Sus scrofa: one gene and its partners. The protein of the gene in region 2 binds, or shares a complex with, the protein of the main gene of each other region. Links are inferred from orthologs where the notes say so. Each region holds a gene or a part of one and is shown on either strand. Other genes may lie near its edges.

Evidence for each region.
Region 1: TAF13 (region 2) and TAF9 share a complex: the UniProt entries of both Homo sapiens proteins name them as parts of the TFIID basal transcription factor complex. The link is inferred for Sus scrofa from reciprocal best matches to the Homo sapiens genes TAF13 and TAF9.
Region 3: TAF13 (region 2) and TAF5 share a complex: the UniProt entries of both Homo sapiens proteins name them as parts of the TFIID basal transcription factor complex. The link is inferred for Sus scrofa from reciprocal best matches to the Homo sapiens genes TAF13 and TAF5.

The regions. Positions count from the first base shown.
Region 1 is NC_010458.4:47,494,262-47,505,113, forward strand, and holds TAF9 (transcription initiation factor TFIID subunit 9), read right to left. Parts: upstream 5,227-10,852; 5' UTR 5,218-5,226; coding exon of another isoform or gene 5,190-5,217; intron 5,187-5,189; exon of another isoform or gene 4,839-5,186; intron 2,723-4,838; coding exon of another isoform or gene 2,630-2,722; intron 1,620-2,629; 5' UTR 1,603-1,619; coding exon 805-1,602; 3' UTR 585-804; downstream 1-584. Other genes in the region: AK6 (adenylate kinase isoenzyme 6), read right to left, coding at 2,630-2,722, 5,227-5,377; cell cycle checkpoint protein RAD17, read left to right, coding at 5,660-5,675, 7,149-7,252, 10,346-10,603. UniProt on the Homo sapiens protein: The TFIID basal transcription factor complex plays a major role in the initiation of RNA polymerase II (Pol II)-dependent transcription.
Region 2 is NC_010446.5:110,975,048-110,985,895, reverse strand, and holds the start of TAF13 (transcription initiation factor TFIID subunit 13), read right to left. Parts: upstream 5,081-10,848; 5' UTR 5,033-5,080; coding exon 5,006-5,032; intron 4,022-5,005; coding exon 3,943-4,021; intron 1-3,942. UniProt on the Homo sapiens protein: The TFIID basal transcription factor complex plays a major role in the initiation of RNA polymerase II (Pol II)-dependent transcription.
Region 3 is NC_010456.5:114,298,946-114,309,788, forward strand, and holds the start of TAF5 (transcription initiation factor TFIID subunit 5), read left to right. Parts: upstream 1-5,617; 5' UTR 5,618-5,648; coding exon 5,649-6,207; intron 6,208-8,863; coding exon 8,864-9,101; intron 9,102-10,843. UniProt on the Homo sapiens protein: The TFIID basal transcription factor complex plays a major role in the initiation of RNA polymerase II (Pol II)-dependent transcription.

The DNA of each region.
Region 1 (10,852 bases), on a different chromosome or scaffold from region 2:
GGTGTAGGTTGCAGACGTGGCTCCGATCCTGAAATGCTGTGGTTGCGGCACAGGCCAATGGCTACCTCAGATTTGACCCCTAGCCTGGGAACCTCCATATATCGTAGGTGTGGCCCTAAAAAGAAAAAACAAAAAACACTGGCTTATTATAGCAAGAGCATGACTAGCAAAGATGCACAAAACTCATCCTCAAAAAGAGACACTAGAAAAAAATTTTTTTTTAAATTTTAAGTGGTGAGACACTGGGAGACATACCAAGGTCTTTCAATATAAGCAAAGGGATAGAAAAAAATGGAACCTAGGAGGAAGTCTGGCCATTGAGAAAGATAAATCTAAATGGGTGAGGATTTAATATGAATAAAAATCCTGACTAAGTGATTTCTCCACAAGAACAGCTCACAGAGTGACTTATACACCAGAGATCATTTTATGACCTAAACATCTGAAGACACTAGAAGTGACACACTAGTGGTAACGAACAGACTGTAACAACCTCAAGTTTTTCCAACTGTTAACTTCGGTCGGTCGGTGATGAGGCAAAAATTGCTTCTAAAAACATAACTGTCAAAGTATCAACAATCAAACTGATGAATTACAACTTTATTTTTTACACTTAAAGGCTGATAAAAACCATTACTAATCCTATTAACGTCCAACATATAGCAATTAAAAAATATGGTAACCACCTTTACTCATTAAATACTATTTTTCTAAAACATAACTTAGAAACATCCAGCATGCATGTTTAATCCCAGTACAATGGATTCAAAACCAAGTATACATGCTACATGCATCGAGGCTAGATTACAAATTATCATAGTCGTCGTCGTCATCATCCTCGTCATCGTCATCATCTTCACGTTTTCTTTTCAATGCGTTTGATGATTCACTGGCAGTATTTTGTGATGACACCATGTTAGTGGTAATAAGAATATTTTTGGACCCAATTAATGATGGATTAATTAGAACATTCTGAACTGCTGATGTTGCAGGAATTGATGCTTTTACAGCTGGGGACTGTGAAGTGGGCATCTGTACTGTGAACCTTTGCCCTGTGAGGGACACTGGTGTCCCTACTTTAGCTGGAACAGACATGGTTTGTTGGGTTGGTGTGCCAAGTGTGGGAGTACTTGGTCTGCTAGTAACTGAACCCACACTTAACCGCGGAACTGTTATTCTTCCCGCAGAAGTAGATGCCTTTTTTTGTAAAGACTTAAGTCTGTAATTTGGAGCAGTCAAACAGTATCTATCAGGTGGCAATCGAGGGCCTGAATATGGCTTGATCAATGGCAAAGGGGTTTGATTTCTTTGCCTTGCAATATCTAATAAAAAATCTCTTGGGGGAGGAGAGGTAAATGATTGGTCAGCACGACACTGGATTGCCAATCTCACATCATCTGCATCAACAGTCGCTTTCTTAGCATGACTTGAATAAATTTTTGCATCATCTAGAATTGTGGTCACATATCGGAAGGCAAACTCCAGCATCTGATTTATAACTCTTGGCTCATATTCTGTAATCCCCATATCCTTCAGGATTTGTGCCATCATCTGTGCATCTTTCGGCATGCTCTTGGGAGAAGCCATCTTGCCAGACTCCATGATATCCGGTGATCAGACTTTAGATCATTTGAAAAAAATATGTACATTAGATCAAACCTGAAATAGTTACTTTAGAAGCAACTGTCAGGAACTTTAAAAAATTGAAATACATGTTAAATTTTCAAAAGTATAAACTTAAAAAATATGTTAAGTTTTTTCCATTTTAATGAGACACATTTAAAGTTCCCTTTACTTAAATTTACTGCATTTCTACCCATTATGGAATGTAAAAAGATGAAGACACAAATAAGAGAATAATAAAAGATTTGGGAAAAACAGGGTAAAATAAATAAAAACATGTCACTTTAGAATATGTGCAGTTGCTTGCAGGCATGCGCCTACCAAACTAATCTAAGAAAATCCCATAGAACACATAGGACAGCTATGTCCTGATGCCTGAGTTCAAAATGACATCCTTACAGTGAGCTCAAGATACTCACAGTCTTCAGATATACTTAGCAACACCCCAACCTTTAGGTGTTCACCCAACTCAAAATACTCTCATATTCAGATTCTATCTGTCCTAAGTCCAATCTTCATGGAAACTGTCCCAATCAGTACTGTCAAAAAGAACTGCTGGCCGACTGTGGAAGGGATGTAATGGTCAAAATAACCAGGTTACAGCATTAAATAACTTGTTCTATCTCTATGGGTCCCCAATAGAGCACAAATTCCTTAATGGGAATCTTCCTGCTTTATATACCCCCATACAAGTACAGTACCAACACTCTGTTACTTCTCCCGCCCTTATTAATAAGCAAATATAGGAGTTCCCATTGTGGCTCAGCAGAAACGAGTATGACTAGCATCCATGAGAATGCAGGTTTGATCCCTGGCCCTGCTTAGTGGGTTAAGGATCCGACGTCGCCTCGAGTTGTGGTGTAGGTCGAAGACGTGGCTCAGAATCACATTGCTACAGCTCCAATTCCACCCCTAGCCTAGGAACCTCCATATGCCTACGGTACAGCCCTAAAAAGACCAAAAAAAAAAAAAAAAAAAGCAAATCTAACACTGAAGTGTCCCTTACCTTCTCGAGCTAAATCACCCACATTAATGTATTTCAATCCTGATCTTGATGCAAGTTCTTTGCCGAGTGTGGTTTTTCCAACCCCTGGTGTACCTGTAAGACAAACCACAGAAAAAAACTGTTTATAAAATATTTATTAGGTTTTAGCCAATGATCTGTCCTTAAGGTCCTTAATAACTGAAAAGTTTCCTAATTAGCAATCCTAATTACCATAACCTAATTCACACCATAACCTAATGAAAACCACCCAAAGCCTGCTGGACATGACAATCCTACTCGGTGTATCAGATTCTACCAGGAGTGAGGCTTGGGAGAATCTGATGACAATCAAAGGCTGTCTGCTACCACCATGGAAATCCCCAGATTGAAACTAGTTATCTCAAATAAATCACCATGAGTTATTTGCTTTAATTTTATTTTTATTTATTTTTGTCTTTCTGCCTTTTCTAGGGCCGCACTCGCGGCATATGGAGGTTCCCAGGCTAGGGGTCCAATCCGAGCGATAGCCGCCAGCCTACGCCACAGCCACAGCAACATGGGATCCGAGCCGCGTCTGCGACCTACACCACAACTCACGGCAATGCCAGATCCCCCACCCACTGAGCAAGGCCAGGGATGGTTCCTCATGGTTCCTAGTCGGATTCGTTAACCACTGAGCCACGACGGGAACTCCTATTTGCTTTAATTTTAAAAAATTAAATTGTTCATGGGAAAAAGTTCAGCAGTATGAAAGACAAATCTCATTTCCAATATGGACCCTCTGTACTCTTCCCTAGAGGCAACCAGTATAAACTGGTTTCTTTTATTTCTCTCTCTAAAGAATCATATGTATGTTTTTGTAAATATGTCCATATATATATATATATATGATAGCATACTACATATGTGTACATATCTTCACACTGTGTGTATATATACGTGCACACACCAAATACTCCCTTTTATGTAAGTGGCAATACTATATATTGTTTTTCAACTTCCCTTTTTTTCTTTCTGGCCATGACTATAGGCCAGGGATTGAACTTGCACCACAGCATCAAGTCAAGCCACAGCAGTGAATAAGCCAGATCCTTAACCCACTGTGCCACCACAGGAACTTCTATCTTATTTTTTATATCTACTGTATTTCAAAATATATAATCAAACTCATAACTTTCAGCTGCTCAGGTTTAATACCACTGAAATTATAAAATTTAATCATTTTAATTGAAGATAACAGGAATTGGAGTTCCCATCATGGCTCTGTAGTAAGAAACTCAACTCGCATCCATGAGGATTTGGTATGGTTCCCTGGTCTTGCTCGGTTAGTTTAAGATCCAGCATTGCCATGAGCTGTGATGTAGGTCACAGATGCAGCTTGAATCTGGTGTGGCTGTGGCCAGCAGCTGCAGCTCCAATATGACCCCTAGCCGGGGAACTTCCATATGCTGCAGGTATGGCCCTAAAAAGCAAAAAAAGGTAATAGGAATAGATCTTCATGTAAGGACAGTAACAATCCACTATAATATACTAAATTTGAACTCTGAATTCACCATGTTTTCAATAAAACACATTTAGATTTTTGACGATATGGTTTAATATTAAAAAAAACCCAAGACACTCACTATCTGACCCAAACAAATCAATGTTGTACAATCTTCCCCTTAAGAAATCGTCATGGCTAACCATTAATTTGTTGAGGTTAATCTGCAGCTTTCAGAAACAGAAGGATTTGTGTGCTGCCAATAAATAACCGCCTCAATTTTTATAATGCAACAGCATCTATCTACATCCATTAGATTTTTTTCATGAATGCCCTAGGATGCCATTAACTGCTACAATCTAATAAACATTTTCAGAGTTAAACAACCAAAAATAATATTCTTTATAAGATCGGTATGAAGCATTTTACTATCCCTCATATATAACAAACGCCCTCAGTATAGATCCGAAGACCCAGATGAACCCCCACAGTGAATCTTAGAACACCTCTACACGAGAAACGACCAGAGATACTCAGTAGATGCCTTTCCTTCTTAAAATAATGAAAAAAAAAAAGCCTCTGAAGCTAACTTCACAAGTGTATATAGCAAATTAATCACCCCACACCGCAAACACCCGAATCCTTTCATCGAAATCTGCCAGAAAGAAAGGAAAAGCGAGAAACGGGCCCCGGAGGCCTAAAGCATCCACCATTAAGAGATCTACCAAAGGCCAGACACTGTCTTACATTATATTGCTAAAAGCCTGAAGACAACTCTGCCAAGAGGCAACGGCCATTTTGCAAACAAAAAGGTGATTGAGAAAGCTTAGGCAGCTTGCCAAAAAAGGAAGCTAGATACATCTACCTCTCTCCGCCTCACCGAAGGGCCAACCTCTGGCCAAACAAAATTGACGTTCGCGGTCCCCTCCCCCCGCCTCCCGCAACCGTCGCGAGGGCCGGTCACGAGGCCCCAACAAGTGCCACGCTAGGCGACCCTTGTCGACCCCCGACACAGAACACTGAACGCCCCCCCCCCCCCACTTCGGGCGTCCCAGGCTGGCCCCACCGTCCAGCACCACCCCCACCGCGCGCCCTGACCGGTGAGCAGGATGTTCGGAAGCAACATGGTCCTCACCGCGCTGGCTCCGGACGCTTCTGCACACGCGCCTTACACGCGACAGGGAGGGGCCGGAAGGGGCGAGGAGCGGCAAATGCCTGTGGCGCGGAGGTACGCGAGACCTTGAGTGGCGCTCGCGACCCACATCTGCCGCCTTGCCACTGACCATTGGTTACCTAGGCTTCTATAACACGCTTCCATTGCAGGGTCCAAAGTACCAAAACAGGTCATGTCCGCGCTTCGGGTCAGGCAGTGCGCTGGATGCCTAAGACATTCGCTCTTTTAGCGGCCCCGCCCTTCGGGCCGTGTCGCCGAAGCGCCGATGCTCTGAAAAGTCCCCGGGAGGCGGGACCTCCAAGAGGCTCTGCGCTGAGCCCGGTTAGGGCTGAGTGGCTTTGCTTACACCTGGAGCCAACCGTGGGCTCCACCACTGTTCTGCGCCCACGAGGGGATGCTGCTACCAGAAGGTAACGCTTCCGTGGCTGTGGCTGCGGTGTATTTATGTCCTAGAGACCTTAAGTCCAGGTCTGCCTTCACGCCTTCTCAGACTCTTGTAGCCCCTCCTCCTGACCTGCCCATCCCATCTGTGGATTAGAGGGGTGAGCGTTCAGAGCTCTGGCCTGGAGCTGTGGCAGACCAGCTCATCTCCGCTTTGCCCTGACTAGTAGTATTACGTTGGATGATTGTATGAGCTTAGTATCCCCTGTGCAGTGTATAGAGTGGTGGTGGGTCTGCTAGAAATACTCTTCGAGGTCTTTTCTCCCTCTGATGTCTCATTTCGGGAACCTGGTATCGTCAAAGACAGTTGCCTGCTTTTTAAAGGAGGTAACTGTCAGTCTTTTTTTCAAAGGGTTAGAGTCTAGATGGTATCAAGTGTATGACTTTTATTTTGACCTGCCAACGGTATTTTCTGAAATAGTTGTTTTTTCCATCTTAAATACGTTTTTGACGCTGTAAAGCAAAAACCCCTCTAGACATGAACAGCTTATCTATATGTGTGTGTACGATTTGTTTTCTAGTGTTTAAAAGTATTTACACATTATAAATTACACGTGCTTCCAAACTATAAAAAAGCTCAGTTTACAGGTTTGTAGACGCTAAAAAAACTTTCTTTCTGGCTAACTTAAAATTGGTGAGTTCACTGGTTTGCCTAAACATTGAAGAATTATGACAGTTGGAAAACAGTGTTGCCCAAAAATGTTGTGATAACGTTTAAATAAGGACGGTTATAGAAAAAGTTTACAGTAGGAGATAAAAATCTTTGTTTAAAGTGAGTGATATGTCTGAATTAATTTTTGGTGTCTTTTTAAAAAAATCCTCTTTGAATTTTTGAAATTTATAATTTGAAATGAGGGAAATTTTAATTTTAAGTATAAAACTGCAGAAATAGAATTGTCTAATCTTTATTAATGACAAAAGGTAGATATACAAATGTTCGGGATTTTTTTTGTTTTCCTAATACATTGAGTTAGATGAAAAACTGAACACCACAGATAGATTATTTGACACAATTATAGTCGTTGAAATTTTAGTTATTTGGAATTCCCATAGTGGCTCAGCAGAAATGAATCCAACTAGCATCCATGAGGATGCGGGTTAACAATCCTTGGCCTAGCTCAGTGGGTAAGGATCCTGAGTTGCCATGGCTGTCGCTAGCTGGCGGCTACAGATCTGATTCGACCCCTAGCCTGAGAACCTCCGCAGCTGCAGATGCACCCTTGGAAAGACAAAAAAAAGAGAGAAAATTTATAGTTTCAGTTTAAAAATAGAATTTATTTTAGCATTTTGAATTCTTGCTTCCCCTATATTTACTGTGTTCTCTCCCACTAGTCCTTAAGCCTTAACTTTATTATGTTCTTGACTTTTATCATGTGTATTAATTACTATACTTCTATTTTACAGTTTTTCTAAATTTGAGATTTCTTTCTTTTTTTCCCTAGGCGAATTGTACTTTAATGTGTTACAAGTTGTATACTCCGGATGGGAACTATCAAAGTTTATAATGTCAAAAACTTTTCTTAGACCAAAGGTATCTTCCACAAAGGTATGATACACTAAAATGGCCACATGAAATTGCCCAAAAAGAATTAAAGTTTTTGTAGATATTTGTAATAACTTATTATTGCTAGCAAAATAAGGGTGCTCAGTATCTGTTGTAATTGATCTAACAAGTCTGGTAATAAACTGTGAAACAACTGTACATTTAACATGATTTAATGAGACACAGATGTCATATGCTATCACTTATATGTGGAATCTAAAAAAAATGATACCATGAACTTCCTTGCAGAACAGATACTGACTCACAGACTTTGACAAACTTATGGTTACCAAAGGAGACACGTTAGGGAGGAGGGATAGGCTGGGGGTTTGGGATGGAAATGCTGTAAAATAGGGTTGTGATGATTGTTATACAAGTATAATAAAATTTATTGAATTACCCCCCACCCAAGGAACAAAACTTCAATTTTGAAAAATATTTACAATCTCAGTCACAAAGAAAAGGCTAAAAACTCTTGAATGGAAGAGCAGTAGAAAAAAAAGAAATATGCATCTTATAGCTTAACAACAGGCCCTGCCTCAGAAATTATGTGGTTCACTATATGCCAGTTTTTAGCAAGGCTGGCAGGTGGGTAGGACAGGTGTCATATAGTGTCATACTCATGAAAGTTAACTTTTTTCCTAGTGATGGATCTCATTTTTCTCTGATCTTAAGCAATTTATTTCCCTTCACTGTTTCTTTTTTTTATCTTTTTTGTTGTTATTAAGGTAAATGGAAGTTCATATTTATGTAGGAAATGAAACTATAAAATGTGTAACATGCAGATCGGGATTGCTAGATTAGACTTGCTGTCAACAGTTTTACTTCTAATACTATTTTAATATATTTTTTATTTTTTTATTTTTATTTTATTTTTTTAATTTTTTTGTTTTTTTTAGGGCTGCACTTGCAGCCTACGAAGGTTCCCAGGCTAGGGGTCAAATCAGAGCTACAGCTGCCTGCCTGCGCCGCAGCCACGGCAACCCTGGATCCTTACCCGTCTGAGTGAGGCCAGGGATTGAACCCACATCCTCCTGGATACTAGTTGGGTTTGTTACTGCTGAGCCACAATGGGAACTCCTAATATATTTTTTAAAATAGAAGAGAGAGTTCTCTTGTGGTACAGTGGGTTAAGGGTCTGGTGTTTTCACTGCTGTGGCTTGAGTTGCTGCTGTGGTGAGGTTTGATCCCTGGCCCAGGAACTTCCACATCCTGCAGGTGCAACCAAAAAATTAAAAAATGAAAAAATAAAATAGAGGAAAGGGACCAAAATTGTAATACTAGTGGCAGTCTTTTTGAGAGGAGGAAGTGAATTAGGTAGCTGTGGCTGAAATATTTTTCCAGAGGTCTTCATTTCTTCCCTCACTGCTGATAATAATCCTAATCCTTTGTCTTTAAAAGAGGAGTGAAGCATGACTTTTGCATTCATAAGACACTTAAGTTAGGACTCCAGCTTACTTCTCCTGAGCCTACTTTCAGCTCCAACCTCTGGTTCTTTTTCTCCCCTAAAGGAGCATTATCTTATTTACTACTAAATGGTTCACAACTGTGGCTGAGTATTCTTCAAGGAAAATAAAATCTTGGTTTCCCCTTGCTAGTGAGGCAGGGAATTTCAAAATTCAGGTACTAAACTAGATAGTTCTAAATTTATATTGTTTGTATGTTAAGGAAATCCACTTTTAAAATTCTAAATTTTTTTTTTTTTTTTGGTCTTTTGTCTTTTGTCTTTTCTTAGGGCCGCACCCAAGGCATATGGAGGTTCCCAGGCTAGGGGTCTAGTCGGAGCTGTAGCCTCAAGCCTACGCCACAGCCACAGCAATGCCAGATCCAAGCCACGTCTGCGACCTACACCACAGCTCACGGCAGCACCAGATCCTTAACCCACTGAGCGTGGCTGGGGATTGAACCCGCAACCTCATGGTTCCTAGTCGGATTTGTTTCCGCTGTGCCACAATGGGAACACCTACAATTCTAAGTTTTTAAAAAACCTTTTTAATCCTCCTAAATATTTGTATATTAAAATTGCTTAACAGTATCTTTCTCTGTGTATGCTTCAGAAGGATTTTATTATTTTTTTAAAACCTTTTTTTCTTCGTCTTTTTTTAGGGCCTCACATGTGGCATATGGAGGTTCCCAGGCTAGACGTCTAATTAGACCTATAGCCGCTGGCCTACGCCACAGCCACAGCAACAGCAACGCAGGATCCGAGCCGAGTCTTCGGCCTACATCACAGCTTACGGCAACACCGCATCCCTAACCCACTGAGCAAGGCCAGGGATCGAACCCATGTCCTTGGGTTTGTTAACCACTAAGCCATGACGGAACTCCCAAAAGGATTTTAAAAAAAAGGAAACGATGTAGGGAGATGTAGAGTGGTCAGTAGTTTCTATAGATCAGAAGACCGTAAAGTAGAACTTACTGATTTTCCTGCTCTATTATATAAATCTGACAAATCGTCCTCTCTGGAAAGCTGCTTCCTTTCCATAAATAAATTGGTTGCTTCATGGGCTGAAGTAAATATAATCAAATCATAACTACAGATTATTCATAGTATCAGGATTCTTAGACCTTACGTTTACAAATCTTAAAGCTGGCAGGGATTTTTTGAATGTATGAAATGGTTCTTAGTTTGTGAATACTTATGCCTGGTCAAGGCATAAGTATGACTTTTCTTACTGCTCTACAGGGTTAAAATGATACCATTTTTCTTTACTTCTTTTTGGTAGGTAATTTAAATATTTATGTTTCAGTGTTCCCAGTGAATTGTAAAGAATCAGCCTAGTCTTTATCCAGGAAAGATTATAATTAATAAAGAGAATCAAGTTTGTATTCTATATTCATTTATATGGCATTCATTGTAACCATGGTCAGGTAGACAAGTATGCATTTATACTTATTGTAAAGTAGAAAAATAACTAAACACATAGAGTTAGTTTTATTTAAAAGATAATACGTGAGGTTTTTATTTTAAATGATGCATGTTATTTATTTAAATGTTGCATGTGTATATATGAAATTTTTTTACAGAGTAATTTAGGTATATAGGGTAGATGCAAAAAAAAATTTAATAGTATTTACATGATTTCCTTTTTTCAGGTAACAGACTGGGTAGACCCATCATTTGATGATTTTTCAGAGACTACAAACATTTCTACTATTAATGCTACATCATTAAGTGTGAATAACTCAAGCCTTAGAAGAAAAAAGGTGCCTTCCACATTAGAAAGTAGAAGATCTCCAACTAGAAAAAGAGGAAACCTATCTTCTTCAAAACAGATTTATAGTCTAGAAAATTCAAAAGAATATGTGTCTGAAAATGAACCATGGGTGGATAAATACAAACCAGAAACTCAGGTAATAACTACCATACAAACAAACAAGTCTGTGTAATTTACTTTTAGGAAGGATGTGTATTTTCAGCTATTATTCATAAAAGTCTTTCTGTCTAAACGAATTAGAAAAAAATAATAATTTCTAAGTTTTTTATGTTCAAAGGCTTAGACTTTCCCAGGAGTTATTCTGAAGTTATATCATTATTTGTCTTCAATTTAATTTAACTCCAAAATAGACTTGATCCATTTAATTTTTTTTTGCTAAATATCA
Region 2 (10,848 bases):
TTAGTTCATGGATAAGCTTTGAGAAGTCAGGGGACTCTAATGAAATTATATGCAAAAAAATTTTAAACATTATTTGAGTGTGTGTGTTTTTCTGGGAAGAAAAATCAACTCATAAGATTCTCAAAGGTGTATATACTAAGAAACTGTCACATGTTAGAAATGTTTCATATCCTGATCTGACTAGTGGTTACAAGTGTATATATATATATATGTATATATATATATATATATATGTAAAATTCATCAAGCTATTCACTGAAGACTAGTCCTATCTGTCTGTCTATCTATCTATCTATCTATGCTTCTTAGGGCCACACCGTGGCATACGGAAATTCCTAGGCTAGGAGTCAAATCAGAGTTGCAGCTGCCTGCCTATTCCAGCAAGGCTGGATCCAAGCCGCAGCTTCGACCTGCACCACAGCTCACGGCAACACCGGATCTGTAATCCACTGAGCGAGGCAAGGGATCAAACCCATGTCTTCATGGATACTAGTCGGGTTTGTAAGTGGCTGAGCCACAGCAGGAACTCCAAGACTAGTACAATTTATTGTATATAAGTTTTACATTAAAAAAAAAAAAAAAAAAGGAGTTCCCGTCGTGGCGCAGTGGTTAACGAATCTGACTAGGATCCATGAGGTTGCGGGTTCGGTCCCTGCCCTTGCTCAGTGGGTTAACGATCCGGCGTTGCCGTGAGCTGTGGTGTAGGTTGCAGATGTGGCTCAGATCCCAAGTTGCTGTGGCTCTGGCGCAGGCCAGTGGCTACAGCTCCGATTAGACCCCTAGCCTGGGAACCTCCATATGCCGCAGGAGTGGCCCTAGAAATGGCAAAAAGACAAAAAAAAAAAAAAAAAAAAAAAAAGAGGAACTCCTAGAACACTTCTAAAAGCAGGAATGAGTACATTAAGAGCAATTCCTATTTAGGAGAAAAGAGTAGACAAGGCCTGCAGATGAAAAGAAAGGGTAACTTTGGAAGCCAGCCTGGGATAGAGAAGTACCCTAGGGTTTATTCTGGCAAAAGTCTCTAGGCCCAGATACAGGAGGGAGAAAACAAACACAGGAGCCAGTATTTTCTCCCCTCTCTTTTCTGGATTCTGAACATTGCCCCCACCTTTTTTAAATAGGTAATTTCAGACTTAGAGAAGAGTTGCAAAAGTAGTACCAAGTTCCCCAATGCCTCTATCAGTTTCCCCTTATGTTAACATCTTATATAACCAAAGATATTTCTCAAAACTAAGAAATTAACAGTGGTACAAGTACCAGTTTCTCCACTCATGTACTTTTTCTGTTCTAGGATCACACACTATTCAGCTGTCATGCCTCCTTGGTTTCCTCTGTTGTGCAACAGTTCCTCAGACTTTCCTTGTCTTTTAGAACCTTGATGCTTCTGAAGAATACTGGTCAGTTATCTTGTAGAATGTCCTTCAGTTTGGGTTTGTCTGATGTTCACTCATGGTTAGGTTGTGATTATGCATTACTAGAAAGGGTACACCGAGATGATGTACCTCTTAATGCCTCATATCATGAGTACATAATGCCAACATACATTACTAGTAATGTAAACTTTGATGACTTGCTAAAGTAATGCATGCCAGGATTCTCCACTGCAAACGTAATTTTTTCCTTAAATGTTCTGAGGAAGATATCTTGTCATTAACATTTTGATGAGAAGAATTCATCAGTAGGGAAATACACTTCACTGGAAAAGGAAAAACTTAGATGGGAAGTTTGTAAACTGTTTTGATTAAAGAGTCTGTAAAGGAGTTCCCATTGTGGCTCCGTGGTTAATGAACCCTACTAGTATCTATGAGGGCATGAGTTTGATCCCTGGCCTTGCTCAGTGGGTTAAGGATCCGGTGTTGCTGTGAGCTGTGGTGTAGGCCACAGACACAGCTTGGATCCAGCATTGCTGTGGTTGTGGCATAGGCCAGCAGCTGCACTCCAGCGCTGCTGTGGCTGTGGTGTTGGCCAGTAGCTGCAGCTCCGATTTAACCCCTAGCCTGGGAACCTCCATATGCTTCAGCTGCGGCCCTAAAAAGACAATAAATAAATAAATAAATAGAGACTGTAAGGATATAAAAACCAGCAGTGAATGCTTTGAAACTTTGTGTTATATTGGCAAAAAAAACGTTTTTAAAAAAAGGTTTAGGAACAGATCTTGTTCAGGAAGGTATATGAAGATTCAGGTAAGACAAGGAAAAGGCTTCGAAGATTCTGAACTCTTGTCATCACAAAACAAAGCAATCCAAGTGGAACAAAGGCTTCTGGTAAGAACTGACTATATAATCATCACTATGGGACACTCTGATATGGAATCCCTTTCTTATGGAAACATAAGAAGCAAAACCAACCATAAGAGGGAGGGGGAGGGACAGGGAGGTTGGGGTCAGTAGGTGTAAACTATTGCATTTAGAGTGGACAAACAGTGAGATTCTGCTGTATAGCACAGGGAACCATATCTGACCACTTGTGTTGGAACATGATTGAGGATAATGTGAAAAAAAAAAGAATGTATACGGATGTATGGCTCGGCCACTTTGCTGTGTAGCAGAAACTGACAATAGACTGCAATCCAAAAAATTTTTTTAGAAAGAGAAGCAAACCCACATACAAATGGAGTAAACAACATCAGAGATAGAATAAGAGGTGATCCACTTTCTCTTTTTTTGCTTTTTAGGGCCACATCTGTGGCATATTAAGTTCGAAGGCTAGGGGTAGAATCAGAGCTACAGCTGCCAGCCTATGCCACGGCCACAGCAACGTCAGCTCAGCCTGGCTGCGACCTACACTGCAGCTCATGGCAACGCTGGATCCCAACCCACTGAGCGGGGTCAGGGATCGAACCTTCATCCTCACGGATACTAGGCAGGTTTGTTACACTAAGCCACAATGGGAACTCCAGGAGTGGTCCACTTTCAATGAGAAACTGATATAACAAGGGATTTGAATGGTTAAGGAAGAAAAAGACATACTGACTCTGCAGTTTCAAGAGCATTTAGGAACTGCTTACATGCAAACCAGCATAAGTAAACAAAGTATTCAGGCGCTGCCTCATCAGGTCAGCCATGTTACATGAAAAGGACTGGGACTGGGAGATAGAGAGCCCGCACATTCTCATGGTGCCTTTCAAGGGCTGGCCTGGATCAGCAGCAGCAGCAGCTGCTCTCCTTGCTGCTGCCAAAAAGGGTAAAGCTCTCTACTCAGAGAGTAGAACAGAGAACCAAAACCTTATTATCTCTATGCCACTGGACTGCCTCACACTGTTCACTTTCCTTGTCCACTGCCTTAGTCCAAAGCCCCAACTTAATTCCTATTCTCAGCACCTGTTCCAGGAGCCAACATAACCTTTGGCTTACAATCAAAGGAGTCCCTGCTCCTACTACTGCACAGGTAAGGGACAGAAAAAGTAACAGAGGTACTGAATTGAAACACTGATCATATTTCTTTTTTCTTTCTTTTTTTTTTTTTTTTGCTTTTTAAGGCCACACCCATGGCATATGGGAGTTCCCAGGCTAGGGGTCAAATCAGAGCTATGGCTGCTGGGCTATACCACAGCCACAGCAACACAGGATCTGAGCCATGTCTATGACCTACACCACAGCTCATGGCAACGCTGGATCCTTAACCCACTGAGCAAGGCCAGAGATTGAACCCAAAACCTCGTGGTTCCTAGTCGGATTTGTTTCCCCTGCACCACGATAGGAACTCCCACATTTCTTTAAAAAAAAAAAAAAAAAAAAGTGTGTCATATACATACATATACATATATAAATACATACACTGGGGTAAGAATCATTACTATGGTTCACAGGTTAAACAAAATTTACAGCTAAGTCTGACAATATTGTCCCTACAAGGAAACACATTCAGAACAGTAAGTCTACTTTGAACAGACATTTCCAAAGGTTTTTATCTATAACGAAATCATTGCCAAATACTACTTACATTCTTTAGAAAAAAGTCTCTTTCTTTTACCCTGTCCACCTTCGGCACCTCCTCCAATTTCTTCACTTTCTTCCTCAAACTAGAAGTTAAAATGTATACATAGAGATGTCAAGCACTGCATTGGACTTTTAAATAATTAACATTTTTTCCCCACCTTCAACAATGATATCATGCCTGAAAGCCTAAAGCAGGCAGCAAAACCCCATGAAACCTTAGAATTTCAGAGGCCTTAAAAACTATCAGTCCAACTTCAGACTCATGCAGGAATGGCTTCTACAATATCCATAATAACCGTAGTGTCTCTCCTGGAAAAGTTCCAATACCATATTTTTGTTGTTGTTGTTGTTTTTTACCGAGCCCAAGGCATGTGGAAGTTCCCTGGTCAGGGATCCAACCCGCGCCACAGCAGCGCCGCAAGCCGCTGCAGTGACAACGCTGGATCTTTAACCTGTTGCCCACAAAGAACTCCCCACACCGTTCTTTTTTTTTAAACCAACTAAGCTGGCCTATTTCTAGACAGTTTTGCTAGTAAAGGAGTTGATACTGAATTAAAGCAAGCAAAACTAAGTTACTAAGCACTGCTAACACAGCCCTAAGAACGTTCCTCAAGGAAGCCTTAATCCCATTTTGTGATGTGAAAACCGAGGCTCAAATAACCTGCTCACAGAGAAAAGAGATTTTGAAATCCATGTTCCCTGACTCTGAGTCCATTATTTTTCCACTATTTTACAATAAGTATATAGTTTTGTTAGCAGTTGAATTGACGGTTCATAATGAGCGCTAACATACTAGCTTTGTCCTCTGATGATTCTCTAGATGTTTCAGAGAGTGTCTGGCAAACATGGACCAAAAGCAAAGGGCAGGCAGGGAGCCACGCTCCCACTCTTCCCGCCCCGCGTACCAAAAAGATGAATCTGAAGGGAAAGGCTAGTATGAAGCAAAGTCTCTGATGCTCTCCTCTGAAAACACTACGGAAAAAAGCTCCAGTTCTAAACTGTGCCTCCGCTATAAGTGCCCGAAAGAGTGCAGAAAAACGTGGGCTGGAACACAAGTGGTCACTCACGGTGGGGTCTTCCTCCTCATCTGCCATCCCACCAGCCAGCCGCCTCCCGGACTCGCCTGCCTACCACCCAGCGGGTTTTATCACTTCCGCTACCTCACTTCCGGTGACGCGCAGAGCCGGGGCGGGGCCTAGTCGCGACCCCGCCTGCGCAGGGGACAGCAGCTCGTCCGACCTAGCGGCCGGACCGAGAGGGCACTTAGTTGAGGATGACGTCTTGTCAAGAAAAAATTAAAAATTAGCAAGGAAAAAGGAAATCTCGGGCAAGGTGGCGTGTATCTCTTGCTTCCGTACGTCGGATTTCTGCTTCCTGATTCGACTGCGAAGCTATGTATCGTTCAGGGCTAGCTAGGGGTTCGTTTAAACATCTTCAGCCCCTCAGAGTTCCACTGTTATTTATTACTAAGGTCTGTATTGGTTACTGAGGATGTACTTTGAAAGCAGTTCTCAAGGGGGTGTTATCATCCCTTAGACTGGGGACTTAACTTTTGTGGGGCGTTTTTGTTTGTTTGTTTGTTTAATCAGAACTTTGGGAAAACCATGGATTTTAGAAGGCTAAATAAAGCTAGGTGTTTAAGCTGTTCTGCAATGCAAGGCCACACAGGGAAAGATTACCCCACAATACTCTATTTCTTTTTTTCTTTCTTTCTTTTTTTTTTTTTTAGAGCCATACTTGAGGCATATGGAAGTTCCCAGGCTAGGAGTTGAATCAGACTAGAACTGCAGGCCTATGCCACAGCCACAGCAAATTGAGATCCAAGCTGCTATGTGACCTACACCCAAGCTCACAGCAACACCAGATGCTTAACCCACAGAGAAGGCCAGGGATGGAACCCTGCATACTCATGGTTACTAGTCAGATTCGTTTTGGCCACAACAGGAACTCCCAAACTACATTATTTCTGAATGTTCTTAACATTCCTGTGAGTGAAAAATCAGTTCATAATTATCTGGGCCAAGAACATAACTGTTAATATATAAACACTGGCATTTTAGTGGCCTAGCAGTTAAGGATCCAGCCTTGTCACTGCTGCCCACCCCACCACAAAAGAAAGAAAATTCAATGTACCTTAAAAACACAGGAAAATGCTTTGTGTTTGCATTTGGGCTTTTTTGTTATTTATTTTTGCTTTTTAGGTTCTCACTCGCAGCATATTGAGGTTCCCAGGCTAGGGGTCCAATTGGAGCTTTAGCTGCTGGCCTACACCACAGCCACAGCAACACAGGATCCGAGCCACATCTGCAACCTACACTACAGCTCACGGCAACGCCAGATCCTTAGCCCACTGACCAAGGCCAGGGGTTGAACCTGTGTCCTCATGGATGCTAGTCAGATTCATTAACTGCTGAGCCACAAAGGGAACTCCCTGTATCTCTTTGTTTGGATCCTTAACCTACTGAGCCACTAGGGAACTCCCACACTGAATTTCCTAGGAATGCATATATATATATATATATATATATATATATATATATGTCTCAACCGCACTCCCTTTCTTGTCACAGAATTCCTAAAACCCTTGTAATTTGTTAAGTGATAAGAGCACTAGGAGCATCTCCTGTTCTAATATCTGGTCTTTGACATCCATCCCACACCTCCTCTATGCACACACACCGGGCTATTAAAACCCCTGTAAATTCCTAAGTGATAAGAACACAACTTTGTTCTAAAAAGGCATCTCTGAGTGGGCTCCTGGACGGCTCTTAGATAGGGACTAGTCACCAAAATGACCAAACCTTGATTAGAACCTTGGAATTTTCAGGCCTCTTCCCTGCCACTACCCTCCCAATTCTCTAGAGAGAGGAGAGGACTGGAAATGGAGTTAGTAATCGATCATGCCTACTCAAGGCATAACAACTCCAACGGTAAGGGGTTCAGAGAGCTTCCAGGTTGGGGAACACATCCACTTACCTGGAGGTTGATGCACTTTAATTCCATGGAGGCAGAAGTTCTGTGCTCAGGACCCTCCCAAAGAGCGCCCTGTGTGTCTCTTTATCTGTATCCTTTATCATATCCTTTAATTAAATTGGTAAACATGTCTCCCCGAGTTTTGTGAGCTGTTCTACGAAATAACCAAATCCAAGGGGGGAGGAGGTCATGGGACCCTCTGATTTGTAGTCCAGTCAGACAGAAGTTGGGGGTAACCTGGGGGCTTACTACTTGTGATTGGCATCTAAAATTGGGAGCAGTCTAGTGGGACTAAGCCCTTCATCAGTGGGATCTTACACTCTCTCCAGCTCAACAGTGTCAGCATTGAGTTAAACTGCAGGACACCCACCTGAGGTCACACAATTGTTTGCTGTGTGTGTGTATGCGTCGGGGGGGATACGCCACATATTTGGTCACCAGAAAGGAAGTGTTCTGTGTGAAAGTAATGGAGAAAGATACATAGAAAAGAAAGAACTGGGAATTTCCCCCCAAAACAGCAACTACCCTGAAATTGGACAGAGATAGTACTTTGTTTTGTTTGCATCTCACCAAGAGCTGTGAACTACTCAGGAAATAATGTCATGAAAAGCCACATCACTTGTAATAATTTGGGTAGCCAATATGCACTGGAATCAGTCTGCATTTGTAGCTCCTTGCATTCACGGGGACTCTACATATACGTGCAAGCATCTGAGATCATTATACCCTCTAGCTAGTCATTTATATATATTTATAAATATATTTATATATTTATAAATATATTTAATATATATTCATATATCAAAATGCATATTATTATAATTTACTGTCTTTATTTTACCTTTATATTATAGTTAGGACATTATACTTTTTAGTTATGTGGGTACTTAGGTCTATCGGTTATTTATTACTGTGTAACAAATTATCCCCAAACTTAGTGGTTTAAAACAATGAACACTTATCACACAGTCTCCTCTGAAGAATTGACGCGGAGGATCCATTTCCAAAATCACACTGTTTTCAGCAGGATCCAATACTTCAGGTTGTTAAAGACCTCAGTTCTTCACTGGCTATTGCCAGAAGCCTCCCTCCACCCCTTGCCACGCAGTCCTCTTCATAGGGCAGCTGACAGCACGCCTCTATCAGCGCAGATGAAGGGGAGAACCAGGAAGCATACCCAAGACCACAGGTCTTTTTGTAACCTACCGTTGGAACTAGCACCCCACCACTTTCGCCCTGTGCTATTCACTAAAAGACATAAGTGCAGCCCACACTCAAGACTAGGTCGTTACACAAGGATGAGATTACTAGGTGGCACACATCACTGGAAGCTACCTGACAAGCTGCCTATCATGGTAGGGTAGATTGTGAGTTTTGATTCCGAATAATAAGGGAGATATTATATTTGTTATTTAGGGAGGACTGTTGGGTCTGAAAGGGTTGAGAACTGCTATATCAGGCAGTGATGAAACACTGGAATTGTCCAAGGGATCTTGTATAAAATATCCACGGTGTCCATTATCAGGGGAAAGGATACACACCAAGGAGTACTATGCAGCAATCAGAAGCAACAGACTGGTGGAGTTCCCACTGTGGCTCAGTAGAAACGAATCCCACTAGTATCCATGAGGATGCAGGTTTGATCCCAAGCCTCGCTCAGTGGGTTGAGGATCCCTTGTTGCTGTGAGATGCAAACAAGTTTGCAGCTGGAGCTTGGATCTGGTGTTGCTGTGGCTGTGGGGTAGGCCAGCAGCTGCAGCCCTGATTTGACCCCTAGCCTGGGAACTTCCATATGCCATGGGTGCGGCCCTAAGAAAATAAAATAAAAAATAAAAATTTTTGAAAAGAAGCAACAGACTAGCACCATAAGTAGAGCTTAGAAACACAGTGCTGGAGTTCCCATCGTGGTCAGTGGTTAATGAATCTGACTAGGAACCAAGAGGATGCAGGTTCGATCCCTGGCCTTGCTCAGTGGGTTAAGGATCTGGCGTTGCCATGAGCTGTGGTATAGGTTGCAGACGTGGCGCGATACCTCGTTGCTGTGGCTCTGGTGGAGGCTGTCGCTACAGCTCCGATTGGACCCCTAGCCTGGGAACCTCCTTATGCCGCGGGAGTGGCCCAAGAAATGGCAAAAAGACAAAAAAAAAAAAAAAACCACAGTGCTACATTTAAAAAGTGAGAAACATAATGAGATCTATAACAAAATACCATTTATGTATATTAAACACACATACACACAAAAAGCACATATTTTACAGGAACACATAAAAAAGTATAGGAGTTTCCCAGTGGCCTAGCAGTTAAGGATCTCCTGTGGCTCGGGTCACTACTGTGGCATGGGTTTGAACCTTGGTCCAGAAATCCTGCATGCCTCAAGTGTGGCCAAAAATAAAAATAAAAAAATAAAAAAGCATAGACATCAAATACATTAGTAAGGTTGCAGGTAGCAGAAATGAGAGTAGGGATAAAGGGAATGCATAATACATAACAAGTGAAGGCCTGAGAAGGGTCAGTTACGACAGTATGTCATGAACAGTGAAATGTGAATAATTGAACATTCTGAACCTGAGATCCAGATATAAACGGGGGGAAAAATGCAGTTTGTGAGTAGCAGAAATAAAACTGTGCTTCAACAGGATGTTTCCAGTGGGTGCCAGAATCAAGTTGGTTTGTTCAGAGACTGAACTTCATTCAAAGGCAGAGTTCCTGGTAGGTCTTTAAGCAGAAGAATCACATGACCCATCTTTAAGAAAAAGATCATTTCAGATGGGAAACCACCCAGGATGAGTGATGATTAGAACCTGAATTAAGACAAAGGAACTTTAGGAGTAGAATTCAGAGGACTTTGTATCTGAATGAATCTGAGCACTCTGGAGAGAGGTTTATATCCAGATGGAATGCTATTAATATGAATTGGAAAGTAAGAGGGAAAAGCAATTACGCTGGAAAGGAAATGAATTCAGTCTGAGTTTAAGAGTCTGCAGAGGTCCTGCAGACAGACCTACAGGTCTAGATATCTGCAGAGAAATCAAGTCTAGAGAAACTGGCTTGGGGGGAGTTCCCAGGTGGCCTACTAGTTAAAGACCAGTGCTGTTACTGCTGTGGCTTGTGTCACTGCTGTGACAAGGGCTTGATCCCTGTCAATCCCTGGCCCCAGGAAATTTCCAATGCTGTGGCACTGCAAAAAAAAAAAAAAAAAAAAAAAAAAAAACAGCAGGGTGGGGAGGAGTGGAGTTCTCATTGTGGTTCAGCGGTAGCAAACCCGACTAGTATCCATAAGGACACCAGTTCAATCCCTGGCCTTGCTCAGTGGGTTAAGTATCTGGCGTTGCCGTGAGCTGTGGTGCAGGTTGCAGACATGGCTCAGATCTGGCGTTGCTGTGACTGTGGTGTAGGCCAGCAGCTACAGCTCCGATTCCACCCCTAGCCTGGGAACCTCCATGTGATGCAGATGTGGCCATAAAAAGAAGGAAAAAAAAGGCACAGGAGACATCAGTACAAGGGCAATAGTTTTAAGACTGCACAGAAACAAAAGTGAGAGAAGAGAGGCAACAGGCAGATCCTCAGAAACAGTACATCAAGGGACAAAGAGACAAGAAATGGTCCAAGACACAGCAAAAGATAAAAGAAGAAAAGTGAAGAGGAGCAGAGAGGAGGAGAAGAATATACAGTTGACCGCTAAACAACATAGGTTTGAACTGCACAGATCTGCTTATATTATACATTATATTTTATATAATATATACACTATTTTTCCAATAAATACCTTCTACGATAAGTTACTTTTCAGCATTACCTTCATGAACTCAACAGCCCAGTTCCACAAGCCCACTTTCAATCATTCATACAACCAGTATGTATCAAGCACCTGTAAAACATTCAGCACTTGCTGTGGGACTGTGGATAAAACGACAATGTACATACACAGTTCCCACAG
Region 3 (10,843 bases), on a different chromosome or scaffold from region 2:
CACTCATATTCAACACCATATTGCAAATTCTAGCCAGTGCAATAAAGCAAGAAAAAGAAATAAAAGGGATACAAATTAGAAATAATATAATAAAAACTGTGACATAATAAGAAAAACATATTTGGTTTCTGTTCTCATGCCCACACACATTTGCTGGCATATGAGGCCTAAAACCTGTGTAATCTTTGAAGTAATAAGTATCTTTTTGTATGCCAGTGAGATGATTGACAGCTGAAGACTCTTGGATAGCTTCAGGATGGAGTCTGGGTGTCAAGGGAACCAATCATGCGAATAGAAGGTTAGAAATTTCAGCCCCACTCTCCTGTCCTCTGGGGAAAGTAAGAGAGGTTGGAGGCTGAATTAATCACTAAAGGCCAATGATTTAATGAATTGTCTACATAATGAAGCCTCCATTCAAAACCCCAACTGAAGGGGTTCAGAAATCTTCTGGGTTGGTGAACATATGGAGGTGCTGTGAGGGGGATGCCCCTAGACAGGGCATGGAAGCTCCATACTCCACCCCCTTACATTGCCTTATGCATCTCGTCCATCTGGATATTCTTTTTCTTTTTTTTTTTTTTTCTGTCTTTTTGCCATTTCTTGGGCCGCTCTCACGGCATATGGAGGTTCCCAGGCTAGGGGTCTAACTGGAGCTGTAGCCACCGGCCTACACCAGAGCCACAGCAACTCAGGATCCAAGCCGTGTCTGAGACCTACACCACAGCTCACGTCAACGCCGGATTGTTAACCCACTGAGCAAGGCCAGGGATTGAACCGGCAAACTCATGGTTCCTAGTCAGATTCGTTAACCACTGCGCCACAACGGGAACTCCATCTGGATATTCTTGAGTTGTATCCTTTAATAATAAACTACTAATCCAGAAGTAAACTATTTCTCTGAGTTTTGTAAGCTGTTCTAGCAAATTATCAAACAGGAGGCAAGAGTTATGGGACCCCAATCTATAGCTGGTTGGTCAGAAATATGGAAGGCCTACACTTATGACTGGTGTTTGATGGTAGGGAGGTAGTCTTGTGGGCCTGAGCCTTTAACCTATGGGATTTGATACTAACCACAGACTGATAATATCAGAATTGAATTGTAGGACAACTGAATTGTCAGATACCCAGCTGGTGCCAGGTAATTGGTCAATGTGGGGAAAAAAACCACACATCTGGTGTCACAGTGTTGAGTGTAGAGAGAAACTGTTTTCCTTTAATTTTTCCCTGTTCAAATCAGACATAATTGTCACTAGAGAATACACATAAAAATACTTCTATAGCAAGTAAGTGCTTTAAGTAAGGTCATAGTATACAAGGTCAACATGCAAAAATCACTATTATTCCCATATACTAGCAATGAACACACTGCTATAGACTAGTAATTTGGTATTTTGTTATGCCACCCCTGGGAAACCAATACACAAAGGTGAAAAGATACACTGTTGTACATCCATACAATGAAATGTTATTTAATAATAAAAAGAAATGAAACAGTGAAACATGAAATAACACAAATGAATCTCAAAGGCATTACACTGAGTGAAAGAGGCTGGTATTAAGAAGCTATATACTGGGAGTTCCAGTCATGGCTCAGTGGAAACGAATCTGACTAGTATCCATGAGGACGCAGGTTCAATCCCTGAACTCACTCAGTGGGTTAAGAATCCAGCATTGCCTCGAGCTGTGGTGTAGGTGGCAGATGCAGCTTGGATCTGGTGTTGCTGTGGCTGTGGCACAGGCAGGTAGCTACAGCTCCAATTCGACCCCTAGCCTGGGAACCTCCATAATGCTGTGGGTGCGGCCCTACAAGAAAAAAAAACAAAAAAACAAAAAAACAAAAAACCCCCAAGCCCCTATCAACATTCCTTTTGTACTAGGTTTTTGAAATCCAGCACATATCTCACACTTACAGAACATCTCAGTTCAGACAAGCTACATTCAGTGACAGTGGTCAATGATCATACTGGTGGCTACTGCAGTAGATAATGCAAGTCAGGTTTTGCGATTACTTCCTAACTGAGTTTTCTAACTCTGGCTTTTTTTTTTTGTCTTTTTGCCTTTTCTAGGGCTGCACCCGTGGCATGTGGAGGTTCCCAGGCTAGGGGTCTAATTAGAACTGTAGCCGCCAGCCCATGCCACAGCCACAGCAACTTGGGATCCAAGCTGCATCTGCGACTTATACCACAGCTCACAGCAATGCTAGATCCTTAACCCACTGAGCGAGGCCAGGGATAGAACCCACAACCTCATGGTTCCTAGTCGGGTTTGTTAACCACTGAGCCATGATCGGGAACTGCTCTAACTCTGGTCTTGCTTCCCTCCAATCCATTCTTCCAATTTAGCCTGAGATATATAAACACATAAATCTGTTTATCTCCTTTCTCAGCTTAAAGTGCTCCAGTGGCTTCTTATTACTTGAGGGATGGAGTTAGAATGCTCGAACAGGCTTGATGATTTATGTCAGAACCCAATCCTAGCTTATCTTTCTAGTCTCATCTCTTACATCTGCCCCTCATGCTTGATGCTCCAGCCATAAAGAGTTTTGTTCCATTTCCTAAATATGTTCCTAGCTCTCTCACCTCTAGTCCTTTGCATACCTCATCCTCTCCCCTATTCCTTTGCCTCGAGGTTTCTGGCTAGCACATATTTGTTACTGTCTGAGCTCTATCATTCTCTCTTTGCCAGTACATATGTACAAGTACAGACAGATAAGACAGAGACACACACACATACACACCCCTCGGGAAATTTCCTATAGTCAATGGCTATCCTTGCCATTCTTCTCAAAGTGAGGCACGGTAAAGACAAACACAAATAAAAAATCTTCCCCTGACTAAATCATAGCAGTGGCCCTCTGGCCCCTTCCACTTTGAGCTGCTATTACACACATAAATCTTAGGGTTTTCACAGTTTCACCACTCACCAGTGTGAGTTCAAACTTAGGAACTAAACAAGATTGTAACTCACACCAGTGGTGGGCTCTCCCCCATCACACCCAACCCTAGAAACTGACAGATCTGTGAAAACCATAAGCATACGTGTGTGTGCACATGTGTGCATGTGTGTTGACAAACAGGGAGTGGTGGAGCCCAGTGACATCACAGGCTTTCCTGGTTTTGGTACATCCCTCACCTTTTCCCAGTGCTGGGCTTCAGCCTCTCCTTCTGGGTATACACATCAGTTAAGGCACCTGATATCTTTAGGGAAATTCACATTCATAGAGAAAAGTAATGAGATACAGAAGGAGGTACAATGCCTATTAAAGCAAGAAATTGAACAATCTAGATTAGATGAAAAATATTAAGTGCATCAGATGGAAAGATAATTTGAATGAAATAATACATATCCTCAAGGTGAAAAGAGTTCATACTGGTTACATCAGGGTTTCTCAATCTTGACACCGTTGACATCTTGGGCTAGATAATTCTTTGCTGTGGCAGGAGCAACAAGGGATGTCCTATACATTATGGGATGTTTGGCAGCATCTTTGGCTTCTACCCACTAGATGCCAGTTGCACTACCCTCAGTTGTGACAGCCCAAAGTGTCTCCAGATATTGCTAAATGCCCCTGGGGGTGGTGGTGGAACAAAGTCACCCAACTGGGTTACACAAAGCAGGAATAACAAATCATAAAGAACCAATCCATAATATTGTGAAAAATATAATGGTTGAGGCAAGTAACTAAGTGGGTTATATAGTAATACAGTCCAGGCCAAGAAAACTACACTGAAAAATCAGGTAGAAGAAGTCTTCTAGAGGATATCAGAAAGGGGTGAACATGAAAATATGAAGGTTAACAAACCTAGAGGATGGAAGTATAAGTATCAATACTTACATCATAAGAGTATAAGAAGGGGGAAACTAGAGGGAAGGAAATATTTGTAGATACAATGCTTACTAAAATCCCAGAATTTTTTAAAAAAAACCTCAGATTGAATGGGTACATAAAGGGCCAATCAAGATAGGCAGGAAAAATCTAATCCTAGATATGTTAGAGTGAAATGAACAAGCATCAAAGAGAAAGAGAAAGGGCCAGAGAGGAAGAGCAGCTCTCCCATAAAGGAACAAGATACAGACTGACACCAGATTTCTTAAAGCATCCCAAGAAGAGAGTAGAAGAATGGGGGTAGGGATCACGAAGGAAGGGGAAAAGAGAAACAAAAATTAAAAGTGGGCTTTGGGAGTTCCCGTCGTGGCGCAGTGGTTAACGAATCCGACTAGGAACCATGAGGTTGCGGGTTTGGTCCCTGCCCTTGCTCAGTGGGTTAACGATCCGGCGTTGCCGTGAGCTGTGGTGTAGGTTGCAGACGCGGCTCGGATCCTGCGTTGCTGTGGCTCTGGCGTAGGCCGGTGGCTACAGCTCCGATTTGACCCCTAGCCTGGGAACCTCCATATGCCGCGGGAGCAGCCCAAGAAATAGCAACAACAACAACAAAAAAAGACAAAAGACAAAAAAGACAAAAAAAGTGGGCTTTGAAGTCCTTCAATAAAAAATACAGAGATTTTGGGAGTTCCCTGATGGTCTAGTGGGTTAAAGATCCGGCACTGTCACAGCTGTGGCTCAGATTGCTGCTGTTGTATGGGTTTGACCCCTGGCCCAAGAACTTCTGCTTGCTGTGGTCATGGCCAAAAATAAAATAAAATAAAATAAAATAAAATAAAATAAAAAAATAAAGAAAGAAAGAAAAGAAAAGAAAAAATACTACAGATTTTATTTGTGGTGTAACAGAAAAGCCACTCTATGTGGTATAAGTGGCTTTGGCTGAAGTCCCAAACCAGACTCTGTGGAACTTAAAAGACAAAGCCAGGTAAAAGGTTAGACACCACAGAAGGAAACGGAGTGGCTGTACTTCTGCAGTCCCAGTTTCTGGGCTTCATCTGTATAGCTGGATCCAGTTTCTAAGACCTAATTCAGGAGACTGATGTATGCATCAGAAGTTTTACTATTCATAATAGGGTAAAACATCTTTCCAGGGAATAGTAAATACACCTGGGTTTATTTATGGCATTTCTCATCTAAGTTCTAAACTAATTACCAATTAATTACATATCAATTAGCGAATAATGAATTAGAAAAATCAGTTGAATGATCATGAGGTATAGGATGAATTTCCCCATCTCATAATTGTTACCATCTGAATTTGGTTTTTTCTCTCTTGGCCACTGCTGAATAAATGCTAACCAATTATTGTTCATCTCCCCTAATGCTCCTCCCCCCATGTTTCATAATCTTACTTTAAAAACAAAATTTTTTTTTTGGCTGTGCCTTGTGGCCACCCGAGCTGCTGCAGTGACAATGCTGGAGGCTTAACCAATGCAAAGTGAAGATAATAGTACTTTACGAGGTTGTTTAATTATATGAGGGCATATAATGTAAAGTGTCTATCGCAGTGCCTGAATATAGCCGGTCCGCAATAAACGGTAATTATCATCGGGCAAACAGAAGAGGCGGTCCCTCATCCCAACTTCCTGCCTTTTTGTCACTCACTTTTGAAAGTCGCTCTCGCTCCTATTCCTTTTTCTCCTTATTTCTCGCCCCTCCTACTGCCGCAAATTGCCTTCCAGAGCTGTCGTAAAACGCTCCTCCCCGCCCTCCATGTGGCGAAAACGCAATCACGCTTGACGGCGCGAGGTGGCTCAGCCGCAAGATGGCGGCGCTGGCGGAGGAGCAGACGGAGGTGGCGGTCAAGTTAGAGCCTGAAGGACCGCCGACGCTGCTACCTCCGCAGGCGGGGGACGGCGCTGGCGAGGGTGGCGGTGGCGCAACCAACAACGGCCCCAATGGCGGTGGCGGGAACGTTGCGGCATCGTCGTCGGCCGGCGGGGATGGTGGAACTCCTAAGCCCTCGGTGGCTGTGTCCGCCGTTGCCCCGGCGGGGGTGGCTCCGGTGGCCGCCGCTGCTCCGGAGGCTGGCGGGCCCCACGACCGACAGACTCTGCTGGCTGTACTGCAGTTTCTACGGCAGAACAACCTCCGTGAGGCCGAAGAGGCGCTGCGCCGTGAGGCCCGTCTGCTAGAGGAGGCAGTGGCGGGCTCCGGAGCCCCGGGAGAGGCGGACGGCGCCGGCGCTGAGACGGCTAGCGCGCTTCTCAGCCGGGTCACTTCCTCGGGCCCCGGCCCTGCGGCCCCAGAGCCTCCCGGCAGCGCCGCTTCGGGAGCCTCTGCTGTCTCGGGCTTAGCGACAGGTCCTGCGGCTCCGGGGAAAGGTGAGCCGCGGGGTCCCTGGGAGGCAAGACCGGCAAGTAGGAGATCAAGCAGGGAAGGCAGAGGCTGGCAGGCCTGCACCTCTGCGGGCTTGTTTTGAATTTCCTGGGCCCGCCTCTAGGGCCACATGCCCGCCCCTTTCCCTAGTGCGCCGGCTGCGCAGTCAAACCCTCTTCCTAGCTGTCAGTTCCAGAGAGAGGCTCTGGAGAGCTATTGAGCCCAGGGATGTACGGGGACGGTGGGCGCAGAGAGCCGGGGATGTTCAGGCTTTTGGCCCCTTTCGTTTTATTTAAGCTCTTGGGCCTTGTGCAGGGGTGTATTAGCACTAACAATATTTGTACAATATTGTACTAGTGTACTTTAAATTATGCATCTTAATTTTCACTGTTATACTGTGAGGTAGACAGTACCTCTATTTTAAAGATGAGAAAAGAGTCTGAGAAGAGCCCAGGGACTTGCTTTGACACAGCCAGAGAGTGATGAAATATAGTATAGCCAGTTTTCTCAAAATACAGGCTTACTATCGCTAGTGTTCCATCTTTTAGGGGAATGCAGATTCCTAGGCGTCACTTCGGACTTAGTGAGTCAGACCCCATGCAGGTGGACTCTGGGAATTTGCATTTTATTTTATTTTGCTTTTTAGGGCCACACCTGTGGCATATGGAAGTTCCCAGGCTAGGGGTGGAATCGTGCTACAGCTGCCAGCCTAAGCCACAGCAAGGCAGGATCTGAGCTGTGTCTGCGACCTACACCACAGCTCACGGCAATGCCAGATCTTTAACCCACTGAGTGTGACCAGGGATTGAATCCGAGTCCTCATAGCTACTAGTCAGATATGTTTCCCCTGAGCCACAGTGGGAAATTCTGAAATCTGCGTTTTAAACAAATACTTACAAGGGGATATTGATGTATATGGCAAAGTTTGAGAACCATTCATTTAGGAACAGGTGTTGACAGACCCGAATTCATTTTCTGTCCCTGTTGCTTTTACTTCTGTGATGCTGCTTGTTATTCTTCCTAAGCTCCAGAGGTTCCCCCCCACCCCCGTTATTGTTGAAATTCAGATATAATGTATGTAAAATGTCAGGCACTAATAAGTTTATGCCTAGGTATCTACCCCTGACACTGAGGCTCCCCCTCCCCTTTTTCTCCAGAAACTGTTGTCACAAAGTCCATGCAGTAAAATTTATACACAGTATAATCTCAGAGGTAATCCTGAGCCAATAATGAATGTTTATTGAATTAAATTATCCACTGTAGAGCCTTTAGCCAAATTAATCTGGACTTCTGAGACTTAATCTTTGCAACATTGCCAGAAGTGAAGTACAAATAGGTAGCATTGTAACCAATAAGTAGAAGTGTGTACAAATGTGATTGAGCAGAATCTTTCCTGAATGCTCTATTTTGTGAATGAACTATAAGGTGGATGAATTATGTTGGTTATTTTGCTGTAATCTCTTATTGCTTCAGAAGCTTGATCTTTTTTTTTTTTTTTATAAGATTGTAACTCAGAAACCAGAAAGGAGAAAAAGAGCTCGTCAGAGTAACCAAAAGAACTTAAAAAAAAATTATGCAGTGAAGTACATAGCAGTACTATAATTGCAACTTAAAAAATTTCCAACAATCAAACTGATTCTATTGACAGATGTATCATTGTTTGGTATATATTACCAATAAATACTCATGTTTTCTGCCGTGAAATGAAGGCAAGTCCTCCCCACCATTAACATGCTTATGTTTTATAGGGAGTGACTGGTGTACCTATATGAAAGTATGTGGGATAGGATGTGTTACAGGAAAGTTACAAAGTACTTAGCTCAGAGAGCTGGGAATGTTACTCCAGAGCCTGGCTTGGTGGTGGTGGCTGCCATTTGCACTGAGCCTGTAGAGAAGATTAATATGGCTATTTGGTTTGCACATACTGGGTTTTATAAAATTTGTCTTTAAGGTAGCTCCAGGAGTTACCATAGTGGCTCAGTGGTTAACGAATCTGACTAGGAACCATGAGGTTGCGGGTTCAATCCCTGGCCTTGCTCAGTGGGTTAAGGATCCAGGGTTGCTGTGAGCTGTGGTGTAGGTTGAAGATGCGGCTCGGATCCCAAGTTGCTGTGGCTCTGGTGTAGGTCAGCAGCTATAGCTCCGATTAGACCCCTAGCCTGGGAACCTCCATATACCGTGGGTGTGGCCCTAGAAAAAGGCAAAAAGACAAAATAAATAAATAAAATAAAATAAAATAAAATAAAATAAGGTAGCTCCAGAGTTTCCTGGTGGTGCAGTGAGTTAAGGATCTGGCATTGTGACTGCCATGGCTCAGGTTGTAGCTGTGGTGTGGGTTCGATCCCTGCCATGGTAACTACCATGTGTCACTGGCCTGGCCTCAAAAATAAAATAAGGTAGCTCTAGCAAAAATATTGAGCCTTTTTTGTATTTATTTGAAAATTTTATTTTAAGATAGGGACAGACTGAAGGGGTTTTGGAAGGGTAACTAAAACAAAGTGAATCCTGTCCAAAGATTATGTAATTGTGTTGGGGAAGAGAGTTTAAGAGAGGGAAAAACATCTGAGAAACAGTTCACCTCTGGACCTTAGCAGAACAGCCTTAGACTCTTGGTGAATGTCACATCATTTTCTTCAGAGTTGTTTTTCGTTTTTTAAACAGTTGGAAGTCTAGCTGTGGAAGACCAGCCGGATGTCAGTGCTGTGCTGTCAGCCTACAACCAACAAGGAGACCCCACAATGTATGAAGAATACTATAGTGGACTGAAACACTTCATTGAATGTTCCCTGGACTGCCATCGGGCAGAGTTATCTCAACTCTTTTATCCCCTATTTGTACACATGTACTTGGAACTAGTCTACAATCAACATGAGAATGAAGCAAAATCATTCTTTGAGAAGTATGTGAATTTATAAATACACAATATGTATATATAGCATGTATATATAATGTATATACATCTGTAACTACACAATTGTAAGATTGCAACCCAAAAAGTACTTTATTAAGGAGAGTTATCTGGTGCTTTGAGAACCTAAAGTGGGGTGGGGGTTGTGGGTGGTTTGATCTAGTTGGAAAAGTCAGGGAAGGCTCCCAGAGGAAATGATGCTTGAGTTAAGCTCTGAAGATGGGATAGGAGTTAACCAGAGAAAGAGACAATGGAAAAGCTTGTGTGACAGCTCTGTGCAGGAAGGATCGTGGTAGGTACAGAGGAGAAAGAAGGCCAGTACGGCTGGAGCAGAGAATAGGGGTGGTGTGTGGAGCAACATGAAGCTGGATAGTTGGTTAAGGGCTGGAGTAGGCAGGTTCTTGGGCCATGTTGAGGGTCTTTGTTTATCCTAAGAGAAGTAGGAAGTTGTATTGGCTAGAATTAAATTTGGCTGAGAGTCACTGAAAACTCAGACAGTAATGGTATAAATAAAAAGTTTATTTTTTGCTTTATCCTAGCAAGATGAAAGTTTATTTTTCTGTCTTATGAAGATAGGCAGTCTAGGACTGGTATGATTATCAGAGACCTAGGCTCTCTCGACCTTACTGCTGTAACATTCTTGTCATGCAGTTTCTACTTATGGAACAAGGTGACTCTCCAGCTCTAAGCAATCCCATTAGTGTTATAGTCAACAGAGAGGGCACACATCCTTCCTGAAGGCTGCACATTCTTCTCTCTTTTTTATGTCTTTAACCAACAGTCATGTCTACCTACAGGAGAGGTAGGAAATGTGGTCTTTACCTAGGTATCTGTATGCTCAGCTAATATTCAGGTGTTCTAGTGTGGAGGAAAAAAGGAAAAAAAAAAGGATTTTGGTGACAGTGAGACATCTCTGCTACAGAAGTCATTGTAGGACCATGTCATTATTAGATTTTCTTTTTTTTTTTTTTTTTTTTTTTTTGTCTTTTCTAGGGCCACACCTGTGGCATATGGAGGTTCCCAGTCTAGGGGTCCAATTGGAGCTGTAGCCACCACCCTACAGCAGAGCCACAGTAACACGGTATCCGAGCCATGTCTGTGACCCACACCACAGCCCACGGCAACACCAGATCCTCAACCCACTGAGCAAGGCCAGGGACCGAACCTGCAACCCCATGGTTCCCAGTCGGATTCATTAACCACTGAGCCACGACGGGAACTCCCTAGATTTGCATTTTGAAAGGACCTTTATGCAGTGGGGAAAACATGGTGGGGGGACAGAGTGATTATAGGTTGACCATTTTGGAGATTACTGCTGTTGTTCTCAACTGGGGGTGATACTATTTCTCCTTCCCCTGGGCTCTTTGAAAGTAAAGGTGTTTTGGTTGTCATAAGGACCAGGCTGGAGGATCCTGTGTTTTAGGGGTACCAAAAGTTCCAATATGTGCAGGTAGTCCCACTTAGCAAAGAATTGTTCTGCCTCAAATACTAATACTATCCCTGTTGAGAAGCACTGGATTAGGGTGTGATTGTGTTGGTGAAGGGAAGGAGACATATTTGTGAGGCTCATGGTGAAGGATTGGATATGGAGGTAAGGGAGATGAAAGTATAATTGATAACCCCTAGGTTTCTGGCTCTCCTGGGCTGGATATAAGGCTGCCCTTTGCCAAGATAGAAAACCCGGGAGAAGACTGGGTTTGTCAGGTTGTGTGATGATCTTGAGTTCAGATTTG